Coturnix japonica: one gene and its partner. The protein of the gene in region 2 binds, or shares a complex with, the protein of the main gene of each other region. Links are inferred from orthologs where the notes say so. Each region holds a gene or a part of one and is shown on either strand. Other genes may lie near its edges. The genes, in order: CHCHD4 and AIFM1.

The links.
Region 1: the proteins of AIFM1 (region 2) and CHCHD4 are in contact, whole or in part, in a cryo-EM structure (PDB 9GQZ), measured with the Homo sapiens proteins. The link is inferred for Coturnix japonica from reciprocal best matches to the Homo sapiens genes AIFM1 and CHCHD4. Residues at the interface, in NP_004199.1 of Homo sapiens: Pro345, Tyr347, Ser500, Ser501, Leu502, Pro503, Thr504, Val505, Gly506, Val507, Phe508, Ala509, Lys510, Glu558, Asp559, Tyr560, Asn602, Ala605, Lys606, Phe608, Asn609, Ile610, His611; in NP_001091972.1 of Homo sapiens: Arg5, Glu7, Lys9, Asp10, Arg11, Ile12, Ile13, Phe14, Val15, Thr16, Lys17, His20, Thr22, Pro23.

Annotation. Positions count from the first base shown.
Region 1 is NC_029527.1:8,345,736-8,349,610, forward strand, and holds the start of CHCHD4 (mitochondrial intermembrane space import and assembly protein 40), read right to left. Parts: upstream 2,805-3,875; 5' UTR 2,683-2,804; coding exon 2,661-2,682; intron 301-2,660; coding exon 202-300; intron 1-201. Other genes in the region: TMEM43 (transmembrane protein 43), read left to right, coding at 2,915-2,926, 3,603-3,752.
Region 2 is NC_029519.1:1,537,178-1,540,992, reverse strand, and holds part of AIFM1 (apoptosis-inducing factor 1, mitochondrial), read right to left. Parts: intron 3,765-3,815; coding exon 3,634-3,764; intron 2,565-3,633; coding exon 2,474-2,564; intron 2,419-2,473; exon of another isoform or gene 2,248-2,418; intron 1,776-2,247; coding exon 1,691-1,775; intron 1,032-1,690; coding exon 955-1,031; intron 44-954; coding exon 1-43. UniProt on the Homo sapiens protein: Functions both as NADH oxidoreductase and as regulator of apoptosis.

The DNA of each region.
Region 1 (3,875 bases), on a different chromosome or scaffold from region 2:
GTGCTGTCCTGATTTGGAAGTTAAGACTGAGAGGAGTCTGACTGTATAATTTACTACATAGTTTTCTCAGTTTACTGAATAAAATGTTTATTTACTGAAACCGCTGCCCTACTAGCTCAGTCTTTAAAAATGAATTAATATAATTAGCATATGAAATACATGGTGTATCAATCTCCGCTTTCATTCTGTTCAGCTACTTACCGTGTTCCTCATAAGGGTCATCTGGATCGTCTGCGACCAGCTCAGCACTGCTTGGTGTCTCATGGTCCTCCTTTGTCACAAAGATAATTTTGTCCTTTCCTGTTGTGTAGGAGACAATAAGCAAAAGATCAGGAAAAGCTGAGAGTAAGTAATTGACAAAGTGGCTGACCAGAACACAGTAATGAGATACTCAACATGATGCCCTGATGTTAATATTGAATGAATTCTACTTTCCTTATTGAGCATCTTCAATTACAAGTTGCTGGTTCACAGGAAAATGTGTATAAAGAGAATTGGGAAAGTATTCAAAGGGAAGGTACTGAAAGTTATAAAAGAACTGGAAATAAGGCCTAGGAGAAAATCAACCTACGCTTGAAAAGATGAGTAGTAATTTATCTAGAACAGAGAATAGAACTGAACCCATTGTCTTTGTACCACACCCATGTAACCGTAGGAAGTTATTCTCAATATTCAATAAGAACTGAAAAAGTCATAACCCACTAGAGATTTACAATAAATATTTGCATATGGCACAGTTATGCAATGCAAATAGATGCCTACAGAGACTGCACTGAAGAGAGATGTGATAAGACAGGTATTTGTTTCTAAAGGAGACCATAATCAGCATACAGGACTCACGGAAGCAGTAAAGGACTGCACACTATTTCCAAGCTGAGGCAGCATTTAACAGATGTCACAGAGAACTTGCTTTTTAACACCACCTTCTCCGCTCCTTCCCCTCTTTAACCGAGTCAGGGATCAGCACAGCACAGTGACAGGAGCTGGGTGCAAGCAACCCAAAATGAAGTACCTTAAGCAACACTGCCACTGAATATGAAGCCACAAATCCCACGTGGGTAAAAGAAACTAATTATTAAAGTCACAGCACCTTGTAGAAGAAACTAATTATTATGTTATACAGGAAGGAAGTGAGGATGAGGTGAACATAAAACAGTTTGGGAAGTCCTCTTTTAAAGCACTCATTACATAAGTAATACTCATTACCCATTTACATGTTAGAATATATAGAAACTACCAAATCCTTTCGCTCTAGAGTTCTGCTTTTCACAGCAAAGTACTGTAACAGCTGTAAATCACTGTACAGTTCACTGGATTGCAAAGTTAAAGAGCTGTTTTGAAACCATCTGAAACTACTGCTCTCTTGGGAGAACAAATTCAGCTAAAGAGGCTGGATGGAAATGGACCAAAAGTGAAAGGAAAAACTCTCCTGTGCTACAGAAAGCATTCAGCAGGATATTAATTAAGATCAGCAGCCTCCATTACAGAGTCATGTCATAGTCTATAATTATTATGTGAATTAAATACTAAAGAGCACTTTAACGGTCTAGAGCAGCCTGTGTTGAAAGGTGCTGCAAACATTAACAAGGGCAGAAAAACAGAGCGTACTTCCTGCTCTTGTGTCACTCTTGATTTAACAAAGTAGTTATGAAGGGGGAAAAAAAAAACAGGCTTGGCTGGCAACCAGGGCAAAGTTTCCCAACAACTCTGTAAGGTTGTAGAAAACTGCTTTAAGGCAGATACAGGCAGAAGAGAACATCTAACTGAAGCTTTTCTGAATGTATAACACAGCATTCACAGACTGGAATGAGCACCCCAAAGACTTCAGCTCCAAATTCAGAAAGGCCACTGCAATGACAAAGCACGTTATGAATTAGCATCTTCTTGTCCTTCAGCATGACCTCTACCAGAAAACGTTCAGTAATTCCCTTTCTTTGCATTCAGTCTCACAGAATCACAGAATGACCCAGGTTGGAAGGGACCTCAAGGATCATGTAGTTCCAACCCCCCTGCCTGGCAGGGCCACCAAACATACACCTTTACTAGATGAGGTTGCCCAGGGTCCCATCCAACCTGGTCTTGAACACTAGGTGTGAAAAGCAGATAAACCTGGATTCTTTCAAAAAGGGAAACTATTGTCAGCCGTGTGGCATTCCAGCCAACTTTACAGTGCAGAACAGCTGGGATTTCATACATGAAATGAACTAGAAGTGGATGAAATATCATCACTGCTAGCATGAAGTATAACTATAACCCCATCACCACAACTATAACATGAACTATAACTGCAGCTATCATTCATTTTGTAGGATGCCATAAGGCAATGGACAGAGCTGGTAAAAATACAAGATATCAATAAAGTGAGTTAATAATAATAAGGCAAAGAGAACCAGAAGTTATCACAGTATATAATCACTATCCAGAGTGACGAGTTTATCCTTTCAAAGCAGCACTCAGGACATTCTTTGCAGCATGAAACTCCACACCAAGGGAGGAAAGATAAATCACAATCCACAAAGGGGGAAAGATAAATGCATCCCCCAGGTTAGAAATGAAACGTGTGGTGCCCCACACCCACACAACCCGCGGCCTCCCCTCCACCCTTCGAGCGGCGCCGCCCCCGCGCCTCAGGGTGACATTGTGAGGACGCAGGCACCCACCTTCTTGCCTGCAGTAGGACATGGCGGAGCCGCCCGCTGCCTTTCACACTCAGTGCGATCGCAGACCGGCTCCGCGTCCTTCCCCTCCTCCTCCAACACCGCCGCAGCTCCACGCTGTGCCCGCTGACCTCCGGAAGAACACACACTGAACTCTAACACCAGGAAGCATACGCCCTCACATCGAGGTGGGCGCGGCTGCTGCTGAGCGGTTGTCGTTGGTGGATTCTCTGGTTTGTGAGGGAAAGAGGCCGAAGATGTCGAGGAATGTAAGTGATAAGCTCCTGTGGGGGATCCCAATAGCTGTCAGATCCCGCTTGGCTCCTCCAGAGGGGCCTCGCCTCCTCCCCTCTCTACCCGCTATTGCTGCTTGGGTATTACCCACAGCACAGAGCTGTGGTGCTCCTCACACCCTGTGTTGTTGGTGTTCTAATGTGGCAATGCTCAGCATAGCAGCAGAAGTTTGTTCTGAGAGCTCTTCTAGTCCCCCAAGGTGCAGTTATGGCAGGGTGTGCTGTGGGATTGCATTGTGGTATTTATAGCTGTGCTGTAGCTAGTCTGGAATTTGGGAGTATTACTCAGTTTGTCGCTGGGTGTGGATACCAAATAGGGAACGTAGAGACAGGCTGAAGGATGTGTGAAGGGATGTGCTTTGCCAATGCTATAGGCATTGTTTTTCTTAGTTAAGGTCTATTTACTGGCTGTATTTCTGGTATCAAAATTGGGACAAGGCATTTAGGGGGTTGGAACTACATGATCCTTGAGGTCCCTTCCAACCCGGGTCATTCTGTGATTCTGTGATTTAATAAGTGTGGGAAGGTTCAGCTCCAATGCAAGCAGTGCCGTTTAGCAGTGGTTAAGCAATTTAGCAAAGGTAAAGAGCTCCTTTTGAAACAGACCATCTGCTTTTATACCAATATTACATTTCTGGTTTACCTCCAACAGTTTTCTGACACAGGAAGCAAAAAAGAACATGTCAAAATCACCAGCGAGGCCAAGCCAGGGTTCCTGGAGAGGCTCAGCGAGACTTCTGGAGGCATGCTTATAGGACTTGGGACATTTCTTCTGTCCTTCTACCTTCTTTTTACCAATGAAGTAAGTGAAGTACTATCAAGAGTTTATATACAGCTTTAAAATGGTTGGCCAAGGTGGCATTCAACTAGTTTTGTATGTATAGGGTCAAGGAAATGGTCATGCTGTAGTTTTATTGCTTCATCA
Region 2 (3,815 bases):
TGACTTGTCTTGAGATCTTCTCCAGACTTTTGAAGTCCTCAATCTGAAAGAAGATTTATTCCCATTTCAAACCAGGAATGGCAGTGGGAAAATGCTGCAATTTCCCCCTTTGAAATAAGAGTAACTCTTTTCCTTGACTTAGAATGGGAGACATGTTTCTCCTTCCTCTATTGCACAGAAAGAAAAAGAGAAACAGGAAAGAGAAAACCCAAACTGTCTGGCTTCCTAGTGTTTGGTGATGGGGAAAAACTTGCACAATCTCAGCATTTTCTCCCACACGTCAAGAGGAAATTGCAATGAAATCTCCAGGTTACAGCACACACAGTACTGTAAGAACACCACGTCCCCCATTACATTTCTGTTACACATCCCTTACACAGCTGAGCCGATCACAGCAGACCTGACAGTGACTGGACCAAGGCAAGTCCAGTGCAGGGCACGACATTCCCACAGGGCTCCTTGTCCTCAATTAATTCCCTGAACCAGACTAAGGAAGAAACTCCCTGTCTGTTGTAAACCCTACAAGACACGTGGAGCTTGTCAACAAAAAGCATCCCTCCAACAAAAACTAGGAGTCTGCCAACTAACTTCAATTCTTTCACCCACTTTCCCCTAAGGCGCAGGATGAAGGTGAAGAAATGCCATGAAGAAGACATTAGAGTATCTAAACTACCTAAGCTAACCCAAGAGCTAACACAAACACTCAGCTAAAACTTCAGTCTATGATAGGAATGTTTCAGGCTAAGGGGGAGGGCGAGGTCAGGCTTTATCCCATTCACCTGCTCAGGGAAAAGAATAAACAGCAAATGGATCCCTGGTTACCAGCTGAGGGGAGCTGGTAGTCAAGGCAAGGCTGTCCTGGACCCAATGCAGAAGAGTTAACAAGCTGAAAATGCTGGCAGTGTTTCTGATGAGCTCAGCCTCACCCCAGGTCTAGCAGTGCCTGTAGATTACCTTTCGGAACAGCGTCAGCCGTTGTTGTACATCTTTTCCTGCCCTTTCGATGGCGGGCAGGTTCCTTGGGGAACCACCTGAGGACAGGGTGGAAGGGAGGAGGGGGAAGACAGGGAGAGAGAAATGTTTGTGACTGCTGGCCATGTCAGCAATGCAGAGCCACCACCCATCTGGACTGAGCTTTTCAAGCTGTTACAGTATGCTCTATTCTCTTTTGCCCTCTGGTTTCCACCATGGAAGACCTTCAGTGCAAGCAGTGGACAAGTCTGCAGTCTGAGTTAAAACAAGCCAACAGAAACACCCCCCACAATCAACCTAATGCCATGCACCTTGCTCCACTGACTGCAGAGTCAGTTCCAAATTAACTACACAAGGATGTAACCGCTAGTGCTGGATGCTGCAGTGGTGCTCTACCAAGCTAAGAGCTGGGTGTTCTCCTTACTGCTGCTAAAGGCAGGATTTGAAAACCCCAGACTATAGAGGAGTGCCTTTACCCAGCTGCTGGGGCAGTCACCTTTTCCTCCTTCCCTGCTGCTTTTCACAGGGTAAAACTCTGAATGTCCCAGAGAAGCTGGCTTATGCAAAGCAAGTAAAAAACCCAGCGCCACCACGTTTGTCTGTATTATTGCCCTTCGTGTGACTGCTCTGCCACATGGCAGAAGCTTGTCACTTAATGCCACTGAAATCAAAAGCCCGACACAACATGAAGAACAGGAGATCAGAACAAAAGTCTCACCAGTCGCAATTAGACATTTATCATAGGATATCTGCGTGCCATCATTGAGTTTCACAGTGTTGCCTCTCACATCCATATGCACAACCTGCAAAGAAAACCAAGCAGGGCAGCTCAGGCTTCCACTCATTGTAGGACACCTACTTGAGTCAGATTGCACAGACTACCAAATAGAGAAGAATACTTGGAAGCACCATTTTCACACCTTTGAAATGCTCTGTAATTTTTCAGGGAGGGGGGAACTGGCAATAGGAATTCAGTTTCTTTTGGTAGCAATGACAGATTGGACTGATCACCGCAGGATATGAATGTAAGAAACAATTCAGCAGTGAGAAGACTACATTCTTTGTTTTAGCAAGATATAAAGAACTGAGGAAACCATAAACTCTTTTCCACCTTTCTGCTGCCTCTGTACTCTGCTCTTACTTATGCTGCAGTCCACTACTTTGATGATATTCTACTCACCTCACCTTCCAACTCATATGCAGCTCAGTTCCCATTTTGCCACACAGTCTTTAAGCTCTACATATTCTTATCCCACACACAAACTGTCTTCTTACCTTTAGCTACTACTCCTCATAGCTTCTCCTGCTTTCACACATGCTGTCCTTAATATTAGGGTAGTCCCTGATTCACTGTATACACGTTTCTGAAAACTGTCCACATTCTTCTCCTCAGCCAACCTCCACAACACCATCTACAGCTGTTTATTTCCAGCTCAGACACAGGCTCTGCTTGGGAAGAACTGTATGACATTAGAACGACAGCGAGACATGTAGTACTCACCTTCTTGCCACTGAGAACTGCTACTCCACCATTCTCTACAAAAGGCAAATCACGAGCCTGCACATAGAATGACGGTGGCTGGAAATATATACTGGGAAGAGATCAATTAGCAGATGTGTTCCAGTTACTCTTTGGTACCAGCTATACAGGAATCACCAATGACATGAAAACAACTGTGTGCAACCACAACAAGCCTCAGAAACAGCAAAGAACTAGTTGCTGCACATTGTTACATTCTAGTGTTTAGATCAGAAAGAGATACAGTCACGAATACCAAAGGGATCCGGTGGGATCCAAGGTTCCAGGAGCTCCATTCTGAACTGCAAGGCTCCATCCTCACCTCTACAATTAACTTATTTCACGGGATTTCTCCTACTAGTGGCATATTGTAGCAAAAACACTGTTGAGCTTGAAGCAGTGATTGAACACCTGGTGGGAAGGCAGGGCCAGCCCAGAGGAGCTCAGGTGCATGCAGTGTATCTGAGGGATGAAAGGGATGGAGTCAGGATATGCCTCTTCCCAGCCCTCATTTAAGGGTTGGCAGTGGAAGTAAGGGCATCTCTTGTTGGAGTTCCCTGCATGCTGGAGACCTTCTAAAGGTAAGCACGTTTTTTCCCCTTGTTTCTATACTGCTGCACTTGGGCTTATCCTCATTTGCTTTGGTCAAAGTATTTTGCCCCTCTATTATTATCGTACTTTCCATCGTGTTATAGCATTACACATACATCTAAGGGAATCACAAGTCTCAAATTCAATTTAGTATTGAGCTAACTTATATTAAGCTGCACTCTTCTTGACAACTACCATGCCTTACAGCCTGATCTGTTGCTTGACTGACACGTCTGTAACAGCTCTGCAAACCCACACTCCATGAATCTGCAGCTTTTTGAACTGCACAATGTAGTCACCTGGCCCAGTGCAAACACCACACAAATTCTGCCCACAGCATGCAATGCTCTGTTCCTTTTTGGATTAGTCAACCAACAATACACACAAATACACACACACCCAGGGCCTTCAGCACAAACACAGTGCTACCTGGTGATCTGCCTTCTGAGCATTTCAGGGCTCTCCAGTGGTTCTCTCATAAGACTACTTTAATCATCAGCAGCTTCTTTATAGACCCTCTTCTTTGTCTTTCCTGCCCAAGTGACACATACCTCCTTTCTTTGCCATTCCACTGTTTGAACCGTAGAGTTTCTGTCACGTGAGGATCATCTGAAAACCACAGCTCTTTGGAGAGAGGTGGACGCATGTAGGGCAGTGCAGGATCTTCAGACACAATCAGTACCTTTAAACAAGCAGTCATCAGACATGTCAGCTACACCAGTGCTGGCAAACA